Ovis aries: one gene and its partners. The protein of the gene in region 1 binds, or shares a complex with, the protein of each later gene. Links are inferred from orthologs where the notes say so. Each region holds a gene or a part of one and is shown in the gene's direction. Other genes may lie near its edges. The genes, in order: FLCN, LAMTOR3 and LAMTOR4.

What was found.
Region 2: FLCN (region 1) and LAMTOR3 share a complex: the UniProt entries of both Homo sapiens proteins name them as parts of the lysosomal folliculin complex. The link is inferred for Ovis aries from reciprocal best matches to the Homo sapiens genes FLCN and LAMTOR3.
Region 3: FLCN (region 1) and LAMTOR4 share a complex: the UniProt entries of both Homo sapiens proteins name them as parts of the lysosomal folliculin complex. The link is inferred for Ovis aries from reciprocal best matches to the Homo sapiens genes FLCN and LAMTOR4.

What each region holds. Positions count from the first base shown.
Region 1 is NC_056064.1:34,662,918-34,667,130, forward strand, and holds the start of FLCN (folliculin), read left to right. Parts: upstream 1-1,407; 5' UTR 1,408-1,547; intron 1,548-1,605; exon of another isoform or gene 1,606-1,742; intron 1,743-4,213. UniProt on the Homo sapiens protein: Multi-functional protein, involved in both the cellular response to amino acid availability and in the regulation of glycolysis.
Region 2 is NC_056059.1:25,128,218-25,131,862, forward strand, and holds part of LAMTOR3 (ragulator complex protein LAMTOR3), read left to right. Parts: intron 1-765; coding exon 766-899; intron 900-2,174; coding exon 2,175-2,238; intron 2,239-3,645. UniProt on the Homo sapiens protein: As part of the Ragulator complex it is involved in amino acid sensing and activation of mTORC1, a signaling complex promoting cell growth in response to growth factors, energy levels, and amino acids.
Region 3 is NC_056077.1:36,680,882-36,685,228, reverse strand, and holds the start of LAMTOR4 (ragulator complex protein LAMTOR4), read left to right. Parts: upstream 1-1,490; 5' UTR 1,491-1,545; coding exon 1,546-1,548; intron 1,549-2,040; coding exon 2,041-2,121; intron 2,122-3,953; coding exon 3,954-4,256; 3' UTR 4,257-4,347. UniProt on the Homo sapiens protein: As part of the Ragulator complex it is involved in amino acid sensing and activation of mTORC1, a signaling complex promoting cell growth in response to growth factors, energy levels, and amino acids.

The sequences.
Region 1 (4,213 bases):
TCAGTCACGTCCGACTCTTTGCGACCCCATGAATTGTAGCACGCCAGGCCTCCCTGTCAATCACCATCTCCTGGAGTTCACTCAGACTCACGTCCATTGAGTCAGTGATGCCATCCAGCCATCTCATCCTCTGTCGTCCCCTTCTCCTCCTGCCCACAATCCCTCCCAGCATCAGAGTCTTTCCCAATGAGTCAACTCTTCGCATGAGGTGGCCAAAAGTACTGGAGTTTCAGCTTTAGCATCACTCCTTCCAAAGAAATCCCAGGGTTGATCTTCAGAATGGACTGGTTGGATCTCCTTGCAGTCCAAGGGACTCTCAAGAGTCTTCTCCAACACCACTGTTCAAACGCATCAATTCTTCAGCACTCAGCCTTCTTCACAGTCCAACTCTCACATCCATACATGACCACAGGAAAAACCATAGCCTTGACTAGACAGACCTTAGTCGGCAAAGTAATGTCTCTGCTTTTGAATATACTATCTAGATTGGTCATAACTTTTCTTCCAAGGAGTAAGCGTCTTTTAATTTCATGGCTGCAGTCACCATCTGCGGTGATTTTGGAGCCCCTCAAAATAAAGTCTGACACTGTTTCTACTGTTTCCCATCTACTTCCCATGAAGTGATGAGACCGGATGCCATGATCTTCGTTTTCTGAATGTTGAGCTTTAAGCCAGCTTTTTCCCTCTCCTCTTTCACTTTCATCAAGAGGCTTTTTAGTTCCTCTTCACTTTCTGCCATAAGGGTGGTGTCATCTGCATATCTGAGGTTATTGATATTTCTCCTGGCAATCTTGATTCCAGCTTGTGTTTCTTCCAGTCCAGCGTTTCTCATGATGTACTCTGCATAGAAGTTAAATAAGCAGGGTGACAATATACAGCCTTGACGTACTCCTTTTCCTATTTGGAACCAGTCTGTTGTTCCATGTGCAGTTCTAACTGTTGCTTCCTGACCTGCATACAGATTTCTCAAGAGGCAGGTTAGGTGGTCTGGTATTCCCATCTCTTTCAGAATTTTCCACATTTAAAACGACGTGCTACAGCGGGTGAGGGCAGGCGGGGTGAATCGCGCTTGCGCGCTCCCAGGCCCCGGTCCCCGCGTCGCGCTGTTCTTAAGACACCCAGCGGCCGCCTCCTGCCCCGCCCCCGGCCCGCGCGCTCCACCGAACACTGGTTCCATCGGAAATTTAATAAAAACGGTAAAACGAAAAGAAATTATAGCATCCTATATATCCGCGACGTCCTTTTTCTCTCTTCCTCCTGGTATGAGCCAGGAGTCCTAGAATGGATCTACTTTTCCTCAATTCTCTTTAAAAAATGCTCTTTAAATTAACTCATCCTCCCCTCTCCTGGAATGGTTTCCTCCACCCCTCCCCGCCCCCCACCGGCCCGCGCGGGCGCAACCACTCCGGGCTTCTCGGTGGGGGCGCGGGCTGGGCGGCGGAGAGGACGGGTCTGGCAACCGTTCTAAGGTTCCACTGGACTTCGGAGCTCCCAGACCCGTGCGGTCTTCCCGGGATGTGGGTCTGGCGGAGCTCCGCGCGCCTCTGGTACGGGGGCGTCTGCCGGCCGGCTCCCCCTCCGCGGCTCCGGGCGGTGGTACGGCCCGACAGAGTCACGCGCCCGAGGCGGGCGCGGCCCCTTGTGAGGGGACTTGGTGAGGGCAGCCGGGGTGCGGGGGGGCGGAGATCCGAGAGGGGCGGCGCGGTGGAGGGCTCGGAGCAGGGCGGGCCGCAGCCGGTCGGGTTAGTAGGGACGCTGTTCCGGGCGAGGGGGGTGATCCCGCTGGCGGGGAGGTCGGGCCGGGGGCGGGGTGCGGCGGCCTGGAGCTGAGGAGGCCCCCAGCTTGGCGCGTGAGGTCAGGCGCGGCCTCGTCGCGAAAGGGTGGGTCGCGGCGGCCGGCGGCATTGGGTCCCCAGCACGGGGACCCCCGGGGTGGACGTGCTCACGCGCCAAGTGTTTAGTGGTTCAATGCCCTCGAGGGTCACACGCCCGTCTCTGGTACCGGAGGCCGTGCTGCCGTCGGGGAGCTGCAGTCCGTCCGATGTGGGGCGAGAGCCGCCGTGAACTGGGCTTGTCTGTCGAGTGTTGGTGCCCAGACCGTCCTTAACCCTACTCGGTCCTCCGGCCGGATTGCAGGGGCGGGGTGCCCCGGGCGGGGGGTTGCTCACGTTCCTGTCGCGGTGGGAGAGGGCGTGGGCAGCACCCTGCCCGACAAGGTGTCCTGTTGAGGAGCGTCTCCAGCGGGGGAGGGTTTCTGCTGCTTCTTGTCTTCTGGAAAGCTGGTTGGGGAGGAGTGACTGCTGGGCATCCGGTAGAGATTGGAGTCGGAGACCCGGCCTCACGCTGCCCGAGGTAGGGTGCCTGGGGCCGTGGTTCCCTCGGGCCGTGGCTCCCTCCCAGGCCGGTGGCGCTCAGCTTTAGGCTGATGCTGAGAGAGGTATTTGGACCCGTTGGACATCACCTGGCTACTCGGGGCTGGAGAGAGATTTTCTTGAGTCTGTAGATGAGCGGCTGAAGAGCTAAGTTTTATATCGGCTGTGATCCCAGGAGTCAGAAGTCCTGTCAGACAGGAGTGAGTGTCACTCAGAAAAAGAGTAGCCTGACAGTTTGATCTTGGGTGCTCAGAAGAAGCTTAGCAGCATCACCTCTGCCCACAGGCTGGGCTGTGGTCTGAAGGGTTAAATGGGCCTGATGTGTAACCAAGAGTAGGAAGGATGATGACTTTATGTACTTAAATATCTTAAACTTTACAAGGATATTTAAATATAAATACTTGTGTCTCAAGGGATCAGACATTGGACTCTGTGATCACATCATCAACTTTCTGTGGGCCGCAGCTTACAGGGCGAGCCCCTGCTGAAGCACTGAGAACTGTGGGGTCCCCACGTCCTCTTTCATGTTGTCACTTGAGGTTGGCTATGAAAGTGAAGTCACTCAGTCGTGTCCAACTCATTGTGATACCAGGCTTCTCCGTCTATGGGATTTTCCAAGCAAGAATACTGGAGTGGGTTGCCATTTCCTTCTCCAGGGCATCTTTCCAACCCAGGGATCGAACCCAGGTCTCCCGCACTGTAGGCAGACGCTTTACCGTCTGAACCACCAGGGAAGTCTCGAGGTTGGCTGTAAGCAGCTTACTTTATTTTTTTTCCCATGCCCGCTGCTCTTAGAATTGGCTCTGATACTTTTCCTTGCCTAGAAAATGGCAGGTCTTGAAGCTGAGGTGTGACTGTGTTGCCCTGCCCAACTCGTGCAAATGGCCCCGCTGGCTGTCACCTAGGTGGGATGGTGGCCATGTGGCCCTGATAAGTATAGAGGTTCACGTGGACACCCTCCACAAGTGTTCCACTTTCTGTGGCAACAACTGTCCTCTCTCCAGGCAGCTCCTAAATTCACTTATTTATTTAACACGTGTTAACTTGGTGCCCGCTATGTGCAAGGAACTGCTGAAGATGAGACAAAGTATATGATCCAGTACAATAAAGCAGGGAGAGGGGAGAGAGTGATGGATGGGCATGAGCACTTAGGAGGGGCAATGAGCCAGTAGAGGTCTTCAGGCGGGGGGCGGGGTGGGGGTGGCATTCTGGACCCTTCTCCCTAGCCCTGCCTCTTCGTGCGGCTCTCCAGAATCTCCATGGAACTCAAGGTCTTCCAGCGAAGTGTCCTCTTGTCTTAAACTATCTTCTCTCCCACTGCCCACCTTCCTCTAGGACCACCCCCCCCCCCATACTCTGGCTCGCTGAGCCTTCCAGCCACCCCTCCTCCTGTCTGGTCGTCAGGCATCTCTTTTGGGTTGACTCTGCCGCTTCCGCTGTGACCCTCATGCTCCAGTGCAGTGGCAGCTGAGTGCTTGGCCACACTTTACTGCTGTGGTAAACACAGACTTTCCCCATTTTAGCCTGCCTCCCAGGCCCTGCTGTGTGGCGCGTGTCAGGTCCGCCGGGCTGTCAGCATCTCACCTCTGTGCCTCCAGTACTGCTGCAGCCCAGCGGATACCCCCCACCTCTAAGGTTTCCCCAGCAGAGGACACTTGTGTCTGCACCGCCCCCCCCCCGCCACCTCCGCCTTCTTGGTGCCCACACCCCTCTGCCCCCTGGCCCTTCCAGGACTCTGCTTCCCTCGTGGATTTTGCTCCGTGGTCCCTGGAGTGACAGTGCACTTTGTCTCGCTGCCGGTCATTCTCTGTCCCCTTGACCAGCTCTTCCTTCCTCTCACA
Region 2 (3,645 bases), on another chromosome or scaffold:
TAATATAGTTCTTTCATTTTATTAATGAAAATGGTCAAGTGCAAAGAGTAGATTGTCAGCTCCAAGTTGCTCATGAGTCAGTGACAAGATGGTCATAGAACCCATCATCTTCTGATATGTGATCCAGTATGCTTCCTAACCCAGCACAGAACATAGGTAGCCATGGGCAAATCACTTCCTTTTCTCAGTTCCATAACGAGGACTTTGAACAAAATAATCTCAGATTTTCCAGCTCCAGTGTTCTTTTTGAGGATCTCTGTTAAAACCTTAAGCTCAGCACTTACGGTACAACCAACTCCACATAGACCTTTCAGTGAGTATAAAAAACTTAAATCAGTGGCCAGGTGTAGAATTATCATCATCTACAAATGATGCTTCTGTGGGTTTTGTAAGAGCAAAGGTTAAAAGCTTTTTTCCAATATTCTCACTTAGCTCATAGTTAACCAGAATATTCAACTTATTAATTGTACTGATAATCATAACCTGTTTTAAGTTAGATATTAAGAAGATAGAGATGGTTAGTATTCATTTGAAATTTTTTGAAAAATTGTGAGAACCAGTATTTTTTCCCTTAGTTGTGATTGAATGGTTTTTCTCACCTAAACTGATGAGACCCAATTAGTATTATGAACTTCAGCATTGTGAAGCGTAACTCTTGTGCTTTTTTTTTCTACAAGTTTATGTGTTTTTTTTTTTTTAAATACTCTAAATGTCTTCTCGCTGTATATCCTACATAATTTTTACTTAAATCACTTGTATTTCCAGTGGCCAATGATAATGCTCCAGAGCATGCTTTGAGACCTGGTTTCTTATCAACTTTTGCCCTTGCGACAGACCAAGGGAGCAAACTCGGACTTTCAAAAAATAAAAGTATCATCTGTTACTATAACACCTACCAGGTAAGTTCATAATTATCAAATGGTTTGCTGATGATTTCAACTATTATTCTCTCTTCTTTGTAGAATAGTTTGTTTTAATAATTCTAAATTTTGGTTTCCAAAGTGATGGAATTTTAACATCTTCACCTTCAAATTGGTTATGTTAAACTGTAGTGATTTTTTTTCACATTTTACTTCAGGAATTAATATGAACAATTAGATTAAAAGATTGAATAGTAAAATATATATTATCCTCAAAAGGGTAAGTCAGGTCACTGTTATTAATACCTCCAGTAGATGGTGCCCTTAGCTTATTTAACAACTGTGATTTCTCAAATGACACAGTGGTTGTTGTTGTGACAGATACAGGATTTTCCTTGAAAGTCAAACGATAGTTATTTACATTTGTTATTGCTACTAATCCCATCTTTTGGCTTGATTATATAAATATATAAAATAAATGAGGTTATTATTTGTGGGAGAGAAATTAGTTGCTACAGATCTCTTGATCGCCAGCTGTATTTTCTTTAGAATGAATCAGTAACTTCTTCACAGTAGTAAAGAATCTGCCTGCCAGTGCAGGAGACATGAGAGACACTGTTTCAGTTCCTGGGTCGGGAAGATCCCCTGGAGTAGGACATGGCAACTCACTCCAGTATTGAGCAATTGAGCATACACTGCTTTCCATAGAGCAGAGTTTCCCAGGGTGTAAGTCATGCACTACCAATGATACATATGTGTTACTTTTTATTTTAAAGGTTATGTATTTTAGTATCTATTAGGCAGAAGATAACCAGCTCATCTGACCTTTAATTTAGTCAGTAAAGGTTAGGTTGAAGCTAAATTTTTTAAAAAGATAGCTGATTTTAAGTTAACTTAAATGTAAGTTAATTTAAATTATAGTGGTACAGAGGAGGCAAAAGATTGAGACGTTATAACCACTTGAATGACTGAGAAATAATGCCTTTAGCTCCTTAATTATCAAATATTTATTGAGCCCCTACTATGTAATTGACACTTTGCAGGGCTTTAGAAGATAAAAAAAGATGAGGAAGACACAGCCCCACCTTAGAAACTTTCCAGACTAAGTGATATTAATGTCTCTAAGAGATAATTAGTAAGTCTGTTTTACGGAAATACTTATTTTCAGCTCTTTCACCTTTCATGACGTAATACCATGATGTCAAGCTAGTATCTTACACATTTAAAGTTTTTAGAAAGATTAAGATATTTGATTTGAATTATACCACTTTTTCACTATATAACATTATACTTTAGATCTTGTTCTCTTTTTAGGTGGTTCAATTCAATCGTTTACCTTTGGTAGTGAGTTTCATAGCCAGCAGCAATGCTAATACAGGTATGTTTTAATTACCTTAAATACAGCTTTTAATCTTTATAATACCGGATCTGAACAGTCTAATATGATATGAATACAGATTTAGAGTAAGAAAACCTTAATGCATGGCCCAGCGCTACCATCTATTCCTTGTTTTCTGGAAATATAACTTCTCTGAATTGTTTATATATTATAAACAATTATTTATATAAACAAATATTGTATTGTTTATATCTGTATAATGGAGCTAAGAACTGCTTTCTTGATCTTATGCTATTATTTTTTTAGTTCAGATGAGATGATGTATAGATAAGTGATCATTTACGATAGGAAAATTAAATGTTATTTTCACCTCTTTAATACAGTATCTTGCTCACATTACAACAGTTTCAGAAAGCCAGAAAAAAAAAAAAATCAGTGGAGAAAATAACCAAACAAAACATAAAAATGATCACAGATGAATTCAGGTCCATAAGGACCGATCTATAAAATTTTGAACAATAGTGGGCAAGGTAAATGTGTTTGGGAATTTAAAGAGTGTGACTAGTATGAATATACTCAATTTTTTTTCAAAGTGGAAGAATTTGAGGGCTAACACTTGGAAGCTGTACTTTCTAGAGAGCATTGTAAGATCTCATTATATCCAGTGGTCTTCACTGGCTATTTTTGTGTAAAATCATAACAGTATTCAGTTGAATTACAATTTTTTTTTTTACTCTGTTTTAGTTTAAGTGGAATTTTTTAAAGGTCTGTCTCCAGGTTTCACCACTGTTAGCACTGCTTTACTTTTCTGTTCTGTTTTTTTCTTTCCAAGATATTTGAGCCAGTTTTGTTTCTGACTGTATCACTGAAGCCTGTATTTAGATTGCTCATGTTTAAAATGTGGGGTTTAGATTTAATGAACTGTTGGGTGTCTTTCATTTCTAAATGTTTTCAACCGTAAAATACTGTATGTGAAAACTCTTTGTATAGGATAGTAGTGGTGTCGGTATTTTAAATATGTTAAACCTCAGTTGTGGTAAATCACTATCATACTATAAAATCATCAGTTGTTATAAATTATGATAATCTCCAGAATTGTATTCTAGTACGTAGAACATTTCCTTGTGAATCCCAGGTGCTTTGAATGCTGTGTGAGACAAGAAGATCTTTAGTTGAGCAAAAAACAAGCAGTATTTAAGATATATAGCCTTCTACCCTAGGAAACTAACAAGCTGGATGTGCTGATTTCTAGATTAGCTTGCTTCTTTCAGTGTGTGTTTTATAGTCCTGTGAGGCATCTTTAAAACATTTTTGCCTTTGAAATATCCATTTGTGCCTTAGCTTTACTGAATTTATATAATAAGTATCTGATTATTTCTTTGCTATCTATCTGTTTTTTGATAAAGTTCATTAAAATTGGGTCAGGAAAAGGTCTTTTTTTTTTTT
Region 3 (4,347 bases), on another chromosome or scaffold:
GAATCAGTCTGTTGTTCCATGTCCAGTTCTAACTGTTGATTCCTGACCTGCATATAGGTTTCTTAAGAGGCAGGTCGGGTGGTCTGGTATTCCCATCTTTTCAGAATTTTCCACAGTTCATTGTGATCCACACAGTCAGCGGCTTTGGCATAGTCAATAAAGCAGAAACAGATGTTTTTCTGGAACTCTCTTGCTTTTTCGATGATCCAGTGGATGTTGGTAATTTGATCTCTGGTTCACTTAGCATGTTTTCAAGGTTTATCTGTGTGATAGCATAGATCAGTACTTCACTCCTTTTTACAACTGGACAATGTTCCATTGTATGGATATGCCGCATTGCTTTATCTGGTCTTCAGTTTATGAATATTTGGGTTGCTTTCCATTTGGGGGCGATTATGAGTGATGCTGCCATAACATCTGTGTACAAGTTTTTGTGTAAACATAGTTTTCAGTTCTCTTAGGTATGTATGAAGGAGTGGAATTTTTAGGTCCTATTTAACTTTCATTTATAAATATAGTAACTCTATTTAACTTTCAGAGGAACCACCAATCTGTTTCCCACTACAACTGCACTATTTTACATCCCTACCAGCAATGTATGAGAGCCCCAATGTCTCCAAATCCTCATCAAGCTTTTTTATTAGTTTATCATCATTTTGCCTCACATTAATATTGCAGCAGGTCTAAAAACTACTTAAATTAAAACAAAAAATTTCTAAATGACACTCATATATTTAAAAAATTACCCCAAGGTCATTTTCTAATTATTCCTGGCAGAGAATATTCAGTATTGCAGCTGCCTTGGCTGCTGCTGCTGCTGCTAAGTCGCTTCAGTCCTGTCCGACTCTGCGACCCATAGACGGCAGCCCACCAGGCTTCCCCGTCCCTGGGATTCTCCAGGCAAGAAGACTGGAGTAGGTTGCCATTTCCTTCTCCAATGCATGAAAGTGAAAAGTGAGAGTGAAGTCGCTCAGTCGTGTCCGACCGTTAGCGCCCCATGGACTAGGGAGGTATAATGCTCTATCACACAGTTTCTTACAGAATCCCGGGACGAAAAATCGCTTTGGAACAAATTCCTGTCAGAGAGCTGCCTGAAGTAGGCACAAGAGTAGCATCTGAATAGCTCTCTATCTACGTCTTTTGGCTCGCTCAGGATTCCACTTGCGAGCCACCTAGCCTTGTTGGAGTCTGCCCCCGCCGCCCCCGTGTGCGCAGGCGCAAACTCTCAGCCCGGCCTCCCTCCGGCCCCGCCTCCAGACCCGCCCCCCGCCGACACGCCCCCCTCCTTCGCGCTCTGGGGCTAAGGGGAAGGGAGATGAATGTTCAAGAGGATGTGCGGCCAATGCGCGAGCGTCTCGGAAGCGGCGCTCCGCACTGGCAGAGTAAGTCTGATGACGTAGCCACTCTCCAATCGGCATCCTGGGGGCGGGACTAAAGTCGGGCAGGGCAGGGCCGGAGGAGGAGACCGCTGGGTGGAAGCACGTGACCGCGGTCTGGAGCCGGAACTAGGTCTGGCTACAAGCTCCCCCAGCACCTAGAGCTGCGATGGTAAGTGAGGACGCATGCGCGGAGTTACGCGCCGCGCCGGCGGTTCCTTACCCCTGTCCCCCAATCTCTTTGGTTGCGGGGTCCTGAGCGTGCCCTCCGGCCTCACCTCCTATTCTCCCTGGGACTGGAAGGAAATGGAGAAGGGAGGGGTGGTGACGTAGAAGGCCAAGGAGAAGTCGCTGGGAGGGTGTGTAGAAGCTGGGGACTAGTCTGAGGGGGAGGCGCAGGCCACAGGTGCGTTTGGGGAGGGGGCCCTTGGGGTAGCAAAGGTGACGTGTGGAAAGCTGGTGGCGCCCGGGCGGAGGAGAGGACTGACGGAGGCTCAGGAGCATCAGTGTTGAAGGCCGTGTAGAGGGAAGAGGGTCTGGAAGGGCCCTGGCTGGGTAAAGAGGCCTGGAGCGGGGGCAGGGGGCACTGTCAAGAGAGGCACTCTGGTTGCCCAAGGGCCATCCTTTCGGCCTACTGCTCACTAATTGCATCTTTACCCACCAGACTTCGGCACTGACTCAGGGGCTGGAGCGAATCCCCGACCAGCTTGGCTACCTGGTGCTGAGTGAAGGCGCGGTGCTGGCGGTGCGTTCTGGAAACGGGAGGGGGGGTGCTCCAAGTACACATGACTCTAGGATGCCTTCTAATGTTGCCCTGTTTGGCCCGATTGGTCTCTGTTCTTGTCTTTCCCTGGTATCACGCCTGGCGTGTAGGAATTAAATCAATTAATCAATCTCTGGACTCTCAGTCTTGTAACTATCCTGAGGTAAAAGAGGTTTACTGACTTTACCAAAGTCAAGCAAGTTACAGGTTTGTTGATAACTGACAATCCCCAAGTTACTCTTGAGTATGTCTTTATTTGGTATTTATTGAAGAGGCTTGGTATTTTGTTCTGTAGTACAATACAGTGTCAGCTCTAGAAGTTTTCAATCTAGCTAGAGACAAGGCTTAAGGCTAAAAGTTCAAAGTAGTGCATGTGGTTAACGCAGCTGAAGGAGTCCAGAAAGTGAAGGATTCAGCCCTTCATACTATAACTTGTGTTTTGGCAAGGAACCTTCCTTGGACGAGGTAAGAATTCATCTGGGCTTAAAAGATGGATGGATGACAGGAAAGAAAGAATATTCAGAGTTGGGAGGTGGACATTTTGCAGGAGTGTAACACCAGCCTATCTGAATTGGTGATGGGGTTATGTTGAAAAGATTTGGAAACATTTGGGGGAAGAAGAGGATATGGTGAGGAAAGGTCCGATTGTGAAGGACTTTCAAGGCTAGGTTAACACATTTGGATTAATCTTGAAGGGTTTTTGAACAGAAACAAGCTGATGAAGTGATTGAGTAGCATTGTTCTGTTAGGCGTAAAGGTAAGACAGAAGGGGCAGGATTCAAAAGCGGGGATGCTGTTGCCAAAATGTAGGTATGAAACCTCTGGTTGCAATGAGAAGCAAGGAGAGAAGGGGTTTTTAAAGGAAGAATTGGTTTGTCTTTGTAATGACTAGAGTTCAGTAATAAAGGGGATACTTTTCTATCCTGTAAGACTTTGACCTCAAGCCTAGAATGATGGTGCCTTAACCAGCAGGGACTTAAGAAAGGAAGTTGACTGGAGAGGGGGAGAGATAGGGGGGATTTTGATAGTGCAGCTTTAAACACTAAGTTTGATATAGAATAATAGGGTAAACTCCAGGAGTTAGTGATGGACAGGGAGGCCTGGCATGCTGCGGTCCATGGGGTTGCAAAGAGTTAGACACAACTGAGCAACTGAACTGAACTGAATAGCCGTTAAATAGATAATGCCAGGAGCTAATCTGAGCATCTTGCCCCAGTACTCTTGTGACACTCACAAGCACGTAAGATAGGTACTGATGTCCCCAGTTTACAGATGAGGAAACAGGTATAGAATCCAGCAGGAGGGCCACCTTGAGGAGGTAAGAAGTTGAGATCATTACCAGAAAAGAGGAAGCCCAGGCCACTGTGACGTCATTATTCAAGGGCCAGGTAGTCCGAAGGGGTTCAGAGAGAAAAGGGATGTTTATGTTTCAGGTTCTGCAGACAGGGTGACAAATGAGAAATGGGAAAAGATGGAGCCTGGGACTCTAGCTGTGGTGGGTGGGCACTAATCTGTAAGAATGTGATTTTTTTCAAATAAGTGGAGACAGGGAGAGAAATGAAGATTCAGGGATTGGGGAAACAGGGTCAGTAATGGACAGAAATGGATGAGAGTTCCTACTTCCTCAGGGAAGCCCAGTATTTTGGAACAAGATGGCATCAAGAGGGGCAACAATATCATAGGAAAGTTTTAAGTTTTTCCAATACTAGGGGTGATGTTGCAGTGTTGGAAAGTGGAGACAGGTTACACAGAAGGGTTCTTGGAGTTGCTTCCCAGTCTGTCCCTGATTCCTGCCCCCCTCCCTCTGTGTGCAGTCATCCGGGGATCTGGAGAATGACGAGCAGGCTGCCAGCGCCATCTCTGAGCTCGTCAGCACGGCCTGCGGTTTCCGGCTGCACCAAGGCATGAGCGTACCCTTCAAGCGTCTGTCGGGTGAGCCCCGGCCTCTGGTAGTGGGGAAGGGGGGTGGGGTGCTGCTCCCCAAGGCCACTCTTCTCAGGGAAAGACACCTGTCTCCTACCAGCTGCCCACCATCTCCTCTGGAATCCTTGTCTTCCCTGTGGTATTTACCCCTGTATCAGAACTATGAGAAAAGCAAGAGAAGGGAGGGGATTTAATGGAGACCTCCCATCTTCTAATCTCTGAGCTTTGACCTGTTGAATTCCTTTGGCTTTGGATCCTAGCCAGTTTGTGTGCGACCCCCACTGA